Cricetulus griseus: one gene and its partners. The protein of the gene in region 2 purifies or fractionates together with the protein of the main gene of each other region. This does not show direct contact. Links are inferred from orthologs where the notes say so. Each region holds a gene or a part of one and is shown on either strand. Other genes may lie near its edges.

The links.
Region 1: the proteins of Pa2g4 (region 2) and nucleophosmin purify together in Homo sapiens (affinity purification with mass spectrometry; 4 studies listed by BioGRID and IntAct, with this or other methods). This does not show direct contact. The link is inferred for Cricetulus griseus from reciprocal best matches to the Homo sapiens genes PA2G4 and NPM1.
Region 3: the proteins of Pa2g4 (region 2) and Ncl purify together in Homo sapiens (affinity purification with mass spectrometry; 3 studies listed by BioGRID and IntAct, with this or other methods). This does not show direct contact. The link is inferred for Cricetulus griseus from reciprocal best matches to the Homo sapiens genes PA2G4 and NCL.

The regions. Positions count from the first base shown.
Region 1 is NC_048600.1:48,339,238-48,342,824, forward strand, and holds part of nucleophosmin, read right to left. Parts: intron 3,297-3,587; coding exon 3,239-3,296; intron 3,018-3,238; coding exon 2,934-3,017; intron 1,838-2,933; coding exon 1,736-1,837; intron 1-1,735. UniProt on the Homo sapiens protein: Involved in diverse cellular processes such as ribosome biogenesis, centrosome duplication, protein chaperoning, histone assembly, cell proliferation, and regulation of tumor suppressors p53/TP53 and ARF.
Region 2 is NW_023276806.1:129,340,111-129,344,337, reverse strand, and holds the start of Pa2g4 (proliferation-associated protein 2G4), read right to left. Parts: upstream 2,880-4,227; 5' UTR 2,728-2,879; coding exon 2,640-2,727; intron 574-2,639; coding exon 445-573; intron 212-444; coding exon 106-211; intron 15-105; coding exon 1-14. UniProt on the Homo sapiens protein: May play a role in a ERBB3-regulated signal transduction pathway. Seems be involved in growth regulation. Acts a corepressor of the androgen receptor (AR) and is regulated by the ERBB3 ligand neuregulin-1/heregulin (HRG).
Region 3 is NC_048595.1:438,027,384-438,031,633, reverse strand, and holds the start of Ncl (nucleolin), read left to right. Parts: upstream 1-1,424; 5' UTR 1,425-1,586; coding exon 1,587-1,604; intron 1,605-2,536; coding exon 2,537-2,653; intron 2,654-4,250. UniProt on the Homo sapiens protein: Nucleolin is the major nucleolar protein of growing eukaryotic cells. It is found associated with intranucleolar chromatin and pre-ribosomal particles. It induces chromatin decondensation by binding to histone H1.

The DNA of each region.
Region 1 (3,587 bases), on a different chromosome or scaffold from region 2:
AACAATTTATTCCTTGTCCCTTCAACTTCTCTACTTTAAAATACCAATGTCATCACTGGAGCCCAGAAAGACCTAATAGGCAGCACATTATGACCAGTCTTTCAGTTGCTAAATGTCCAACTCCCCAAAACAGCAAACTTAAACTACAGGTAATTCTACAGGCATGCAAATACAGCCAACTGGGGTGCCTACCCATATCCTGCAAATAGTTTTAGTACCCATATCCTGCAAATAGTTTTAGTACCCTCTATCACCCAAAACTAAATTCAATACCTGCTTATAATAAACTTAGTGTTTTCCAAGAACCTAAGGTACCATACCATTTACCTAGAAACCAACTGAAGTTAATAGTAACCCCTTACTAACAGCACAAATTGGACATTTTGTTCCAATTATGAATGTAGGCAATGATTCACAATCAGTAATACCTAATAATTTGTCATCAAATTCATAAGGTAACTAGTTATTGCCTAGCTACCTTAATTTAAATCAGCATAAAAATTAGATTATCACTACAAATTATCATCCCTCATGTAATACCACTTAAAATTTTAGTTTTGCACCCTGTTTTATGCATTTAGCAAGAATAAGGCTTCCAAATATGAGACTCAATTGCCTCCATCACCTAGAAAATAAGTCACTATAGTAATTTTAAAATATTGTCACATACATCCTTATTTGGTTCATTCAAAAATTTATTGAGCAACTAAGGATACAAAGGTATTAAAAACATGGTCAGAGATGAGGCATATGCACAAGTGTAGAAAGCAGTAAAGTTCTCTGCATCACAAGAGTGAAAAGAAAAATGCTTTAGGAAAACAAAAGATTGCTTCCAACGTGCAAGGGGGGGGGGAATGGATGGCCAATCAGGAAAGGGGATTGAGATTAAAATAGAAGACTTCAGTCTGGATTGTTGATGGTACTCAGTATGGGCTATATTTGTTTCTCCTTTTCCTCTTTCCCCATCTTTGGGCTTAATTTACCAGTAGTGCCCAGGACTGTTCAATGCGCCTGCAATTAAATCAAGGAGATAGGACCACATTAAAATGGGGGGGAGGGGCACCATTTTAGCAGTGTATGCAAGGGATAAAAATAAATCAGTGAGTGACAACACCAGGAAAGCTAAAAAGTTTACAGTGTAAATATGTGCTGGCACTACAGTGCTAATTTCCAATCCATTGGTGGCTTCACAAAGGAAGAAAACCTGAAACCATTTGAGGCCTATAGGACAGGAAAAAACTTGAAAAGAACAATTTTTCCTATAATTCCACATTTGTTCCAAATGTTAGAATCACAATTTAGAGAATCTTCAAGGGAAAAAAAACCACTGGATTGACTATTCCATTTTCCACACCCCAGGTCCGTATATAAATTCCAGGTCATGGACTGGGGATACTTTGGTATAGAGGGCACAGAAATAATTCAATTGCTGGGAAATGCTTAAAAAAAATGATCCTTTAAAGGTATAATCTCATGCAGCCAAAGACTTCTTTTCTAGCAGTTTAATTTTACTAAAGTCCAAACGCCCTCTGCTGGTTCTATAGCATAACCCCAGAAAAGGCAATATTCACTTATGTTAAGCTTTAAAATCAGAATACATCCTTGCACTTTATTGTAGCAAAATCATCCATCTATGCACAAGATTATGAATATACCTATTTCTATAATCTATTTTTTACCCACCCTCCATACATAGTAGGGAAAAGAGCAATCCATTATTGGTAATTTTACTCACTTTTTCTATACTTGCTTGCATTTTTGCCTTAATGTCTTCTACAGAACTAGGTCCTTTTGGGGTTTTAGGAGTTTTTTCCTGTTTTTTGAAGGACTCTTGACCCTGGAATAAGTTAATTAAGGCAATTAGAGTACAGTTCATAATTATAATTATGACTTCCCAATTATTTTTACAATCTCTTCTAGATAAAGTATGGAGACACTGCTTTACATGTAACTTTATACATTTTTCTGATTTTAAGATTGTTCCTAGCCTTTAATCTCAGCCTTTCAAAGGCTGAGGGAGGATTGTAGCTAGTCAGAAAGCCAGTCTCAGCTAGCTGACTCTCAGACAACCAAAATGATCATTCTTTTAAAACAATGATTGTCAGGAAAGATACCTCAAGGTTAACGTAAACGCACCTGATGCCAAACCTGATAAGCATCTTTTTTTAAAAAATATTTATTTATTACATGTACAGTGTTCTGCCTGCATATTGCTTGCAGGCCAGAGGAGGGCACCAGATGTCATTACAGATGGTTGTGAGCCATCATGTGGTTGCTGGGAATTGAACTCAGGACCTTTGGAAGAACAAGCAGTGCTCTTAACCACTGAGCCATCTCTCCAGCCCCATAAACATCTTTTTTTAATAGCCCTGGCTGCCCTGGAACACTTTTCAGCTTCTTCATCAATGCTTGGGATGGGGGAACCCTGACAGGCATCTTCCAACTGTGTTGTCCTGAATTCTACAAAGATTAATTGGCCTTTGTAAGCACACAAGCCATAAAAAATCCCATTATGAAATTATAAACAAAACTCAGAATTCAATAGGTCTCCAAACGAAGCAAGAACTCATACTAGAGCCCACCCCAGAACATGACACTCTTCAGATGAAAGTACTGCACTACAATGTATTATGTAGCCAGGGTTAAGTTCTTTAAATACCAAAGTTTAGGCAGGCTAGGTTTTTTTTTTTAAATTTTATTATGTATACAACATACTTCTTCCATGTATATCTGCACACCAGAAGAGGGCACCAGAACTCATAACAGATGGTTGTGAACCACCATGTGGTTGCTGGGAATTGAACTCAGGACCTCTGGTAGAGCAGCCAGTGCTCTTAACCTCTGAGCCATCTCTCCAGCCCCAGGCTAGGTTAACACAGAATTCACTTTTCTTAACTAGGTCTGTTTATCTGTTTTGTTACCTTGGTACTTACTTTTGATCTTGGTGTTGATGGTTTTAAGTCTTTTCCATTTTGGTTTGATTTTTGTGCATTTTTGGCTGGGGTATCTCGTACAGACTGCAATTAAGAGAATGCAATTAAGAGTATACCCCCTCCAGAGTAGACAAGTGTCCTAAACCATTGTAATAAACATAAAATTTCTTACCTACAAAGTTTAGTCTATTTAGTTCAAAACCAATTTTAATAGGAAATTAAATGAGCCAGTTTTCACTATCAACACTAAGAAATTCTTATCTCTTATTAACTATCTTGACACCCATGGCATGTTATATACTCACTTTCTTCACTGGAACTTTTTCTTCAGTTTCTTCATCATCAAAATCATCATCATCATCACTATAAAGGAAATAAACCAACTTAATTATTTGCTCAATTTGAAAGAAGCTACCTTCAGCCGTTCTATCACAATATTTAATAGACAAGTCAAACAAACAGCACCAGTATTTGAATGGATCAAAAAGTATTTAGATGGTAGTGGTGCACACCTTTAATCAAGGCACTTGAAGGCAGAGGCAGGTGAATCTGAGTTGAGGCCAGACTAAGTTGAGTTCCAGAGTGGCCAGGGCTCTTTAAGCCCTGCCTGGAAAAACAAAAAGGCCTAATTAAGTATCTAACAAATGTTACTCA
Region 2 (4,227 bases):
GGACCCCAAGGTCACTGAAAGGCAAGGATAGAACACTTCATTAGGAACCGACCCTGCTTAAATGTGTAGGAAAATGACAAATACTCCAGAATGGCTTAACCTTACATTTTTACCAAGTCACCTTCCTTGAGTATATAGTCCTGGTCACTCTTCAAAGGGGAGAAGTGACACACACAGTTATTTACGGAAATGCTGGTAGGGAAGGCAACACCTGTAAAAAGAACCATCAACCTTACTGCCTGGCTCTGCCTTGGCAGCACCCGCTGCCTTCCTTAAACTTACTCAGTGTAGATCAGGAGAGGAAACTACACCCATCCCATTTGCTACTCCAGATTTCCAAATATGTTAATCAGAGATGGCGTGGACTTTACAATGGGGGGGGGGCGGGGCTAGATGGATACGGTCAAATGGGAGAAATTAAGAAGAGTATTCTTTCCCGTTTACCTTTCTTCATTTCCTTTTCCTTCTTGAAGATTTTCCCTGTCTCTTCCATTATCATGGCATCGCCTTTCTCACACAGGCTCAGCACTGATACACCTGAGCTGGAGGCTTCCACCAAAGATCGGAGTACCCCTGGAGACAGAATCCCATCAGGTCAGTCCTGCTTGCATTCATCATCTAATTAGATGTGAAGTTGAATTCATTTTCTAATACTCCCTAGTGTCATTGTCTTAAGGCAGGAAGTGGAAAGGAAACAAATTTTGTGTCCTGGTACAATCTATCCACTTTAATGTCTACCTTTTTTTGTTGTTGTTTATTTTGCTTTTTTGAGACACACCCCTGGCTTTCCTAGAACTATGTACACCAGGCTGGACAGGAACTCAAGAGATGGCCTGCCTGTGTCTCCCCGACAAGTGCTGGCACCAGGCACTATCACGCCCAGTCTTCCTTTCTACCTTCCTTTCCTAAAATAAAAAAGGCCAGCGCTTACTTCTCTTCTGTAAATTATTTGACACCTGGATAGACGAGAGTCTTGCACCTACCAAAGATGTTATGGCATACAGAATCATGAACGTTAGGGAACTGTGCTCAAGACACCCCATATGCACAAGCAGAGCAGAAGAAATTTATAGGCGTCAGGGACAAGGGAAGGTACACATAGAATTGCTGAGTCAAAGTTGAAGCATTGTTAAATGCTACCTTCTTCCCTTCCCTAGACACTCTAATTAGGTGTTAGTAATCACAATTTATGTAGATGCATTTCCCCATATACAAGCATATAAGACCAGGGGAATTAATCTAAGGTCTCAAAGATTCAGGAGACTCAAGGTTTACTTTGAGATCTCAAGGAAACGTGATCAGTTTCAAAATTATTATCTAAAGTCAAATTGCCTAAAGCTTCAAATAGTACGGATAGAAATTTTGTCTGATTTAAACCAATAATATCAAATACTAAAACTACCCCAGATAGGGATATTATTTTGTATCCGTCCTCTCTATGATCCATGGGGATTCAAGGCTTAATAGTGTTTTGGTTATTCTTTGGAATACAAAAAAAAAAAAAAAAAAAAAAAACAACTCGGTTTTAACTAAAGGCATCCTAAATACCTTCTTCAATTTTGTCAAGACCATTTTAAAGTCCTAATAGTTTCTATCTCTATTAAGAGGCTTTTAAAAAATGGAAAAGAGAGCCGGGTGTGGTCTGGTGGCACAGGCCTTTAATTCCAGCACTTGGGAAGAAGAGATAGACGGATCTGAGGCCAGCCTGGTCTACAAGAGTAGGACAGAAATTCCCCCCCACCCCCGGGAGGGGGTGCATGGGACGGGACGGGACTGACACGAAGAGACAACTGGAAAGAGCCCAAGTGGCAGACAACTGTTGAGAAAGAGCAAGAAATACTTATAATAACCCTAAAAAAATCAGTGTTCCTCTCCGTCCCGTCCCAGCATTATTGACAGGCTTGCCTAGCTGTGTTCTAAGCAGGACCTCAGAACACTGTCAAGCCTCTAAAAACAAATATTCAAGGCCATTTCACAGGCTGGGGCAGCAGTCATCAACCTAGTGTAGAAAACCGATTGTCTTTAAGAGTTGTGTTAGAAGCTGCAGACGTGCCCCTCAACGGTCCCTCGGGCTAGGCCAGGGGAGAAGGGGGCCCCCACCAGGGGGACCTGAAGTTGAGACTTTTCTGAAGCACGTGGTGGGGAAGCACGGTAGTAGAGGAAGTGGGGAGCCAGCGATCCGCACAGGGACCTGGCAACACGTGCCGGCCTGGCTCCTACGGGTCAGGACCCGCGACTGCCAGAGGGGCGCTTATGTCGCCAACAGCTGGGAGCAGCACCCTTTCCGAGGTAGCCTCACAGCTGCCAGTCAGTGGAAGCAGAGATCCCGACAGACCGAAGGGTGACGGGCAGAAGACGACGCGCCTTGCCTCCTTACCAACCGCCTAGGGTCGGAGCATGTCTGGGCCCCTCTCTGCGCTCCTCGCGGTCGCCGGCCCGCACCTCCACTCTCTCCAGCCCAGGCATGGCTGCTCAGTCCCCGGGGCGACACCAGATCTCCCCACCACGTCGCCCCTGGTCGTCGGCACGCGCCCCTCGGTGGCTCACTCCGCAAGACCCAGCCGCTCCAGCCCCTCGGGAGACAGCCCCAAACCTCTCCCTCTCAGCCTCGATTCCAAGACCCCCGAGGCCGCACTCACGGTTGGCGATGTCGCCCCCCATCTTATACTTGGTCACGACCAGGTCCTCGGCGATAGTTTGCTCCTGCTGCTCGTCTTCGCCCGACATCTTCCTACCACCACTACTGCAGCTTCACTTTCCCTGAGCTGCGGCCTCCGTCTCCCTTCCAGCCACAAGCTGTAGCTAGAGTCTCTTCGATCCGCGAGGAAAGCGCGAGCAAGCAAGGGAGCGGGAGGGCGGGCGCAGAGAGCGAGAAGCTGCGAGCGCGCGGGCTGAAGCGCAGGGCACGCTGGGACAATGAGTCCGGCCGGCGTCCAGCCTCCAGCCGCCCTCGTGTGCTCAGGAACTACAATTCCCAGCCTGCTCCTCGCGCCCCGCCGCCAGGCCCTGGGGCCTTGCCCTCCCAGGTCTGCGCACGCCGGAATCGCCGGGCACGCTGGGAAGGGTCTGGCTCCGGCGGGAAGGCGGAGCCGTTGGGGAGCTTGAGGGAAAGCGTGGTCTCTACGGGAAAAACCTCATTCACGGGAGCTCGGAGCCAGAACTCGTAACAGAGGGGGGCGGGCTAAGCGAGGCGGGGCGGAGCTAAGCGGAGAAGAGGGTTTAGAGGCCGCGGAACAGGGTGGAACAGGGTGGAGCAGGGTGGAGCTAGAGGACCAGGGTCACTGTTGGTACACCTAGGGCGGGCAGCTTCGGATTCCCGGGTAGGCAAGCGTGACCGGCCTGGCTGGTCCAGTCCTCCTCTGCTGGGAGAACAGGAAGGGGCCGAGCGGAGGCGGTGCTGGGAGCGAGGGACTAACTGAACAGACTTAACTAGACAGTCCGAAAGATTATTCATTTACCGTGGCCTGCTAATAAGGCCAGACTTGCTACTATACTAGAGTAAAATGGCACTATTGTTCCAGCGGTAGGTTTTGATGGGGGCATCTAAGGGAAATGTTTAGGAGGTATTTGGTCACTCCAAAGAGAATGAGTTCTGAATTATTTCAGGCTTTCAGTATTCAACCTATGTAGGAAAAAACAAACAAGATTTGGGGTTTTTCTCTTTTCCCAAGCAAGCGCTTTGGCTTTTCTTGTTTACACTTGCTACTTTGTAGCGATTCCCAGTAAAACGGGTTAATAAAAAGGAGTAGAAACAGGGTCTGGAGAAAAGGCTCAGCGTTTATAACCTGGTATTCCTGTGGAGGGAGTTCGCAGCACCATGCCAAGCAGCTTGTAATTTGGGCACTGCACTCACCATTGCCAGCCCCTACTCCCTCATATACCCATTTTTTTTGTTTGTATGCTTTTTTGCGTTTTTGTTTTTCGAGACGGTTTCCCTGTGGCTTTGGAGACTGTCCTAGAACTAGCTCTTGTTCACCAATGCCCGGCTACCCAGGTTTAAAAATAAACTCTTAAACCGAGCGTTGGTGGCACACGCCTTTAATCCCAGCACTCACGAGACAGAGGCAGGCGGATCTCTGTGAGTTCGAGGTCAGCCTGGTCTCCAAAGCTACACAGAGAAACCCTATCTCGATAAACCATAAATAAATAAATAAATAAATAAATAAATAAGATCTTAACATTTAAATAAAGCTGGAGAGATGGCTCAGAGGTTAGGAGCACTGGCTG
Region 3 (4,250 bases), on a different chromosome or scaffold from region 2:
GGTCTTGGCTCACACCAATCATTTTTCCTGTCCCTCTACCCAGGAGTCTCTCTTGGGGTCCATCTCAAGGTGTGACCCTTGTCACTGTCTCTATAAAGACAAAGCCTCCACATCACTGCACTGGTTCCCACCTCATGCCCTGACCATAGAGCATTTTCGTGGAGCTGTGTCCTCCACCGCGTTGCGAAGGACTTAGTAACAAGCATCACGCATTAACTATTTCTACTTGTCTCCAAAGACCCGTGTTCAGATAGAAAACGTGGGACCCAACACATCCTGTTTGCACTAAAATCTTCCGAGATGGGCCAAGGCGTGGTGGCGCACGCATTAATCTCTACACGCGTGAGGCAGGCAGGTCGAGGCTAGCCTGGTCTACACAGTGAGCTCCAGGACAGCAAGAGCAAATAGTTAGGCCCTGTCTCAACATCCCCGACAAAATCTCCACAGGTGATCTATCAACCAATATCATCAGTTGGCGGAACCCTGACTATGCAGAAAATTAGGTTTTAGATGCCCAGGAGGTACCCTAGAAGGGCTCCAGTATGCCACGCCTGGAACCCAAAGTCCCACACACAGGTCTAATCCACTCACGGCAACTCTGTCCTTCAGGCCATTGAGGGAAACCGTGAGTGGCCACAGGCCGGCAAAAAACTCCTCCAGCACACACCAGGAAGTCACCTCTCCGAGACCGTCCCCATCAGGAGTTAAATCTACCGCGCGAGGTTGGACATTAAGCGAGCTGTTTGAGCACTGCACACAGGCGCGCACACACGCACGCAACTGCCTTTATTGGGAGCTGTCTCTCAGGAGAACAGCGGCCCGCGGCGCAACACTAGAGCCCCGGGATGTTCTCGGCTCTGCCGAGGGCAGGCCGAGGGCCGCGAGCTGGCCCCAGTGGGCTCTAGGCCCTCAACTTCCGGCGCTCTCCGGCTCCTCAGCGGGAACGCGCGGCGAGCACTTGAGGCCGCCGCGGAGTCCACGGTGGGGCGCAGCTTCCGCAGCGCGGGGGATGCTCGGGCCACCCACCACCCCCCACCCCCCCGGCCACGCGAGCCCGGAGCTCCAGGTAGCAGTCGAGCACTAGGAGGCGTCCGGGCCACGCCGCCATCCCCGAGCCCCTTCCACAAGCCGCGCCAAACGGGCGCGTTGCACCGCGCAGGCGCGGCGAAGGCGAGCCGCTAGGGCTCGCCGAGAAGACGCGCACACCAGCCAGTCAACGTCCGCCTTGCGTAGAGCTAGGCCCGCCCCCAGGGCGCTGCCGTCAGGCCCCGCCCCCGGCGGACCCGCCCCCACGCCGTAGCCCCGCCCCCACGCCGTCCTGGGTTGAAGGCTCGCGGTTGGCCAGGGGGACGGACGCGCGCTCTGGTTGGTGGAGGAGGGGTCACGAGGACGCCGTCGTCGCCTTTCCAGAGGCGATTACTGGGCAGGCTCAGTCTTTTGCCTCAGACGCTAGCTGTAGCTGGCAGTCGCTCGTACGTGCTCCAGAGTCCACCGTGCCCGTCGCTGCCGCCCAGCTCGCGTGGGTTCCCCGAGGCTCTCCCGAGCTGCGCCCTTCGCCGCACGCGCCGTCGTCGCAACCCGCCACCATGGTGAAACTCGCAAAGGTGAGAGGCCTCGCGCGCGCCGACGCGGACGGACGCCTGGGCCTGCTTTCTGAGGGGCGCGCGCGCGCGCGTCGCTCAGGGGAGGAGGGCCTGCGCGCAATCCCGGGCGCGTTCGAGGGCGCCATGCTGGGGAAAGTCTCGCGCGACTAGCGGGAGGTCTCGCGGTGTTTGGCCCCTGACTTGGTGGTGGGGGAGAGCCGAGGCGGGTCCCGGGAGGTGTGTGTGTGTGTGAGCGCGCGCGCGCGCGTGTGTGTGTGTGTGTGTAGGGCGGTGAGATCGGAGCCGCCGCGAGGGGAGAAGGGGCGACAGGCCCGCCGAGGGGAGATGGGACCCAACTCGTGGGCCGGCGCCGGCGTGGCCCCGCCTCCTGGCGCACGTGCTCCGGTGCGCGGCCCGCCACGTGGGTTTTGGCGCTCTGCGTGTGTTGCCCGTCTCGGGCTCGGGGAGTCGCGGGGTACCGGGGAGGGGGACAGCGGGACTGAGCTAGGTGGGTTCCCCGGCGATCCCCAGCGCCTGTCCGTGACGGGCAGGCCAGCACGTGGTGGACACCTGAGGGAGCGCGTGGTGGCCTGCGTGGTACCTCCACGTGGCCCGCCTCCAGAGTGGCGACGTCGGAAGTGGTTCTGTGAAAGACGTGCTCCTCTCCAGAAGGGGCTACCCAAATAGATACCCCTGCCCCGGCAGATGATTTAGAGTGAAATTCAAAGGGCAATGAATGACTAGTAGATTGTCTTCAGTTGTCTCTGGAAGGGAAAGACAAGTTATATAGGTGATTCTCAGGAAAGATTGCCACATATAATAATGCCAATGATGTCACCTGTGCTTAGGGCCTTTAACAATATAGACAGTGGGCATTAAGAAAGAAGATAATGGCGAAACGCAAAATGGCTTACAAATAGGGTATCGACATGATTTTGTGTGCACTTGTGTAGGCCGGCAAAACCCACGGCGATTCTAAGAAAATGGCTCCTCCTCCAAAAGAGGTGGAAGAAGATAGTGAAGACGAAGAAATGTCCGAAGATGAAGAAGATGACAGCAGTGGAGAAGAGGTATACAGCTAATAGGGCAGCGGTGCCCTCCCTTTAATTCCAGCAAGAGGGACGTAGAAGGCAGGCAGTTTTAGTGAGTTCAAAGCCAGCCTGGTCTACAGAGGGAGTTCGGGGACAGCCAAGGCTACACAAGAAACCCTGTCTCAAAAACCAAAAAGAAAAAAAAAGATGTAGAAATAGAATGTGTGTTAATAAAAGTATTCTAAAGCCGGGCGGTTGTGGTGCACGCCTTTGATTCCAGCATTCAGGAGGCAGAGGCAGGCGGATCTTTGTGAGTTCAAAGCCGCACATGGTCTACTTAATGAGTTCCAGGACAGCCTCCAAAGCTACAGAGAAACCCTGTCTCCAAAAACCAAAAAAAAAAATACAGTAGTATGATAACAATAGTTGAGTGACAAGTTCTTTATTGCTATTGAGTAGTTAAATAAGAGTATTACAGTCCACTTGAGAGGGATGTAAATTTCACTCAGGTTTCACATGCTGTATTGAATATTGATTGTAGGCTGTTATTTTTCCCTACATTTTTGGAAAACAGGGTTTAATCCAGTTTGATTTGTTTTCATTCAGATCATGGTCACGTGATTTCATGGTGTTTGGTGAGAAGGACATTACGACTAGAAATTCCCGGGTGTTTTTTTTTGTTTGTTTGTTTGTTTTTTGAATCAGGATCTCAACATGACCCTTGTGGTCTTAGAACTCAACATGTAGACCAGTCTGGCCAAAAATTCTCCTGAATAAAGGCATTAGTCATTGCATGAAGCTAGTTAAGAAACTTAGGGCTTTGATTTAGATGAGAATTGGAGTCAGGGTCTCAATAGTTCAGGAATCACTATATTTATTTTACTCCTATTCCCGTCATGCATGTTTTGTTTTTTAGTGCTGATCCCTATCACTAAAGTAAGCTTTAGCCTATTATATAAGCTTTTATAGAGCAAGTCAGTTTTTAAAATACATCAGATATGGATTGAAGGCTGCTACTTACCAGTTTGCTGAATCTGGTACTTATTAGCACTCCTACTTGTTGGTTCATTTAAAGACATGGTTAATTAATTTCAGGAGGCAGAAGTAGGGATAGTCTTGGAAATCAGGTAAGCTGGGGGTATGTAATCATTATGCTCAGATTTCTTGTTTAGAAGAGCTATATTAGTAATAAGCAAAATTTGGGTTTTGGTGGAACATTTTTCAATGAAAATAAAATGCATACTTGTTATAACTCTGCTTAAGGCTGATGTGTAGGGGTGGAGTTGGAGACCAGTTTCATTTATGAGTGTTTCTTAAACTTGGGTATTTGTGTGATAAGCACCTGCAGTTGTAAGCCATGTATTCTGATTCCAGGGTTTAGGATTTAGTGTGTTGGAGTTAGGGTTAGAGTGTTTATCTGTATTTGTATGAGTGTACTACTAAGCATGCCTGGTGCACTTAGGCTAGAAGAAAACTCTTAGGTTCCCTGGAACTATAGTTAGAGCCATCATGTGGATGCTGAGAACTGACCGTTGGTCCTCTGCTAGAGTAACAAGGGCTCTTAACTGCTGAACCGTCTCTCTAGCCCTTTCACCCCAGGGTTTAACATATACCTAATTCCAGTGTTGAGCTCAAA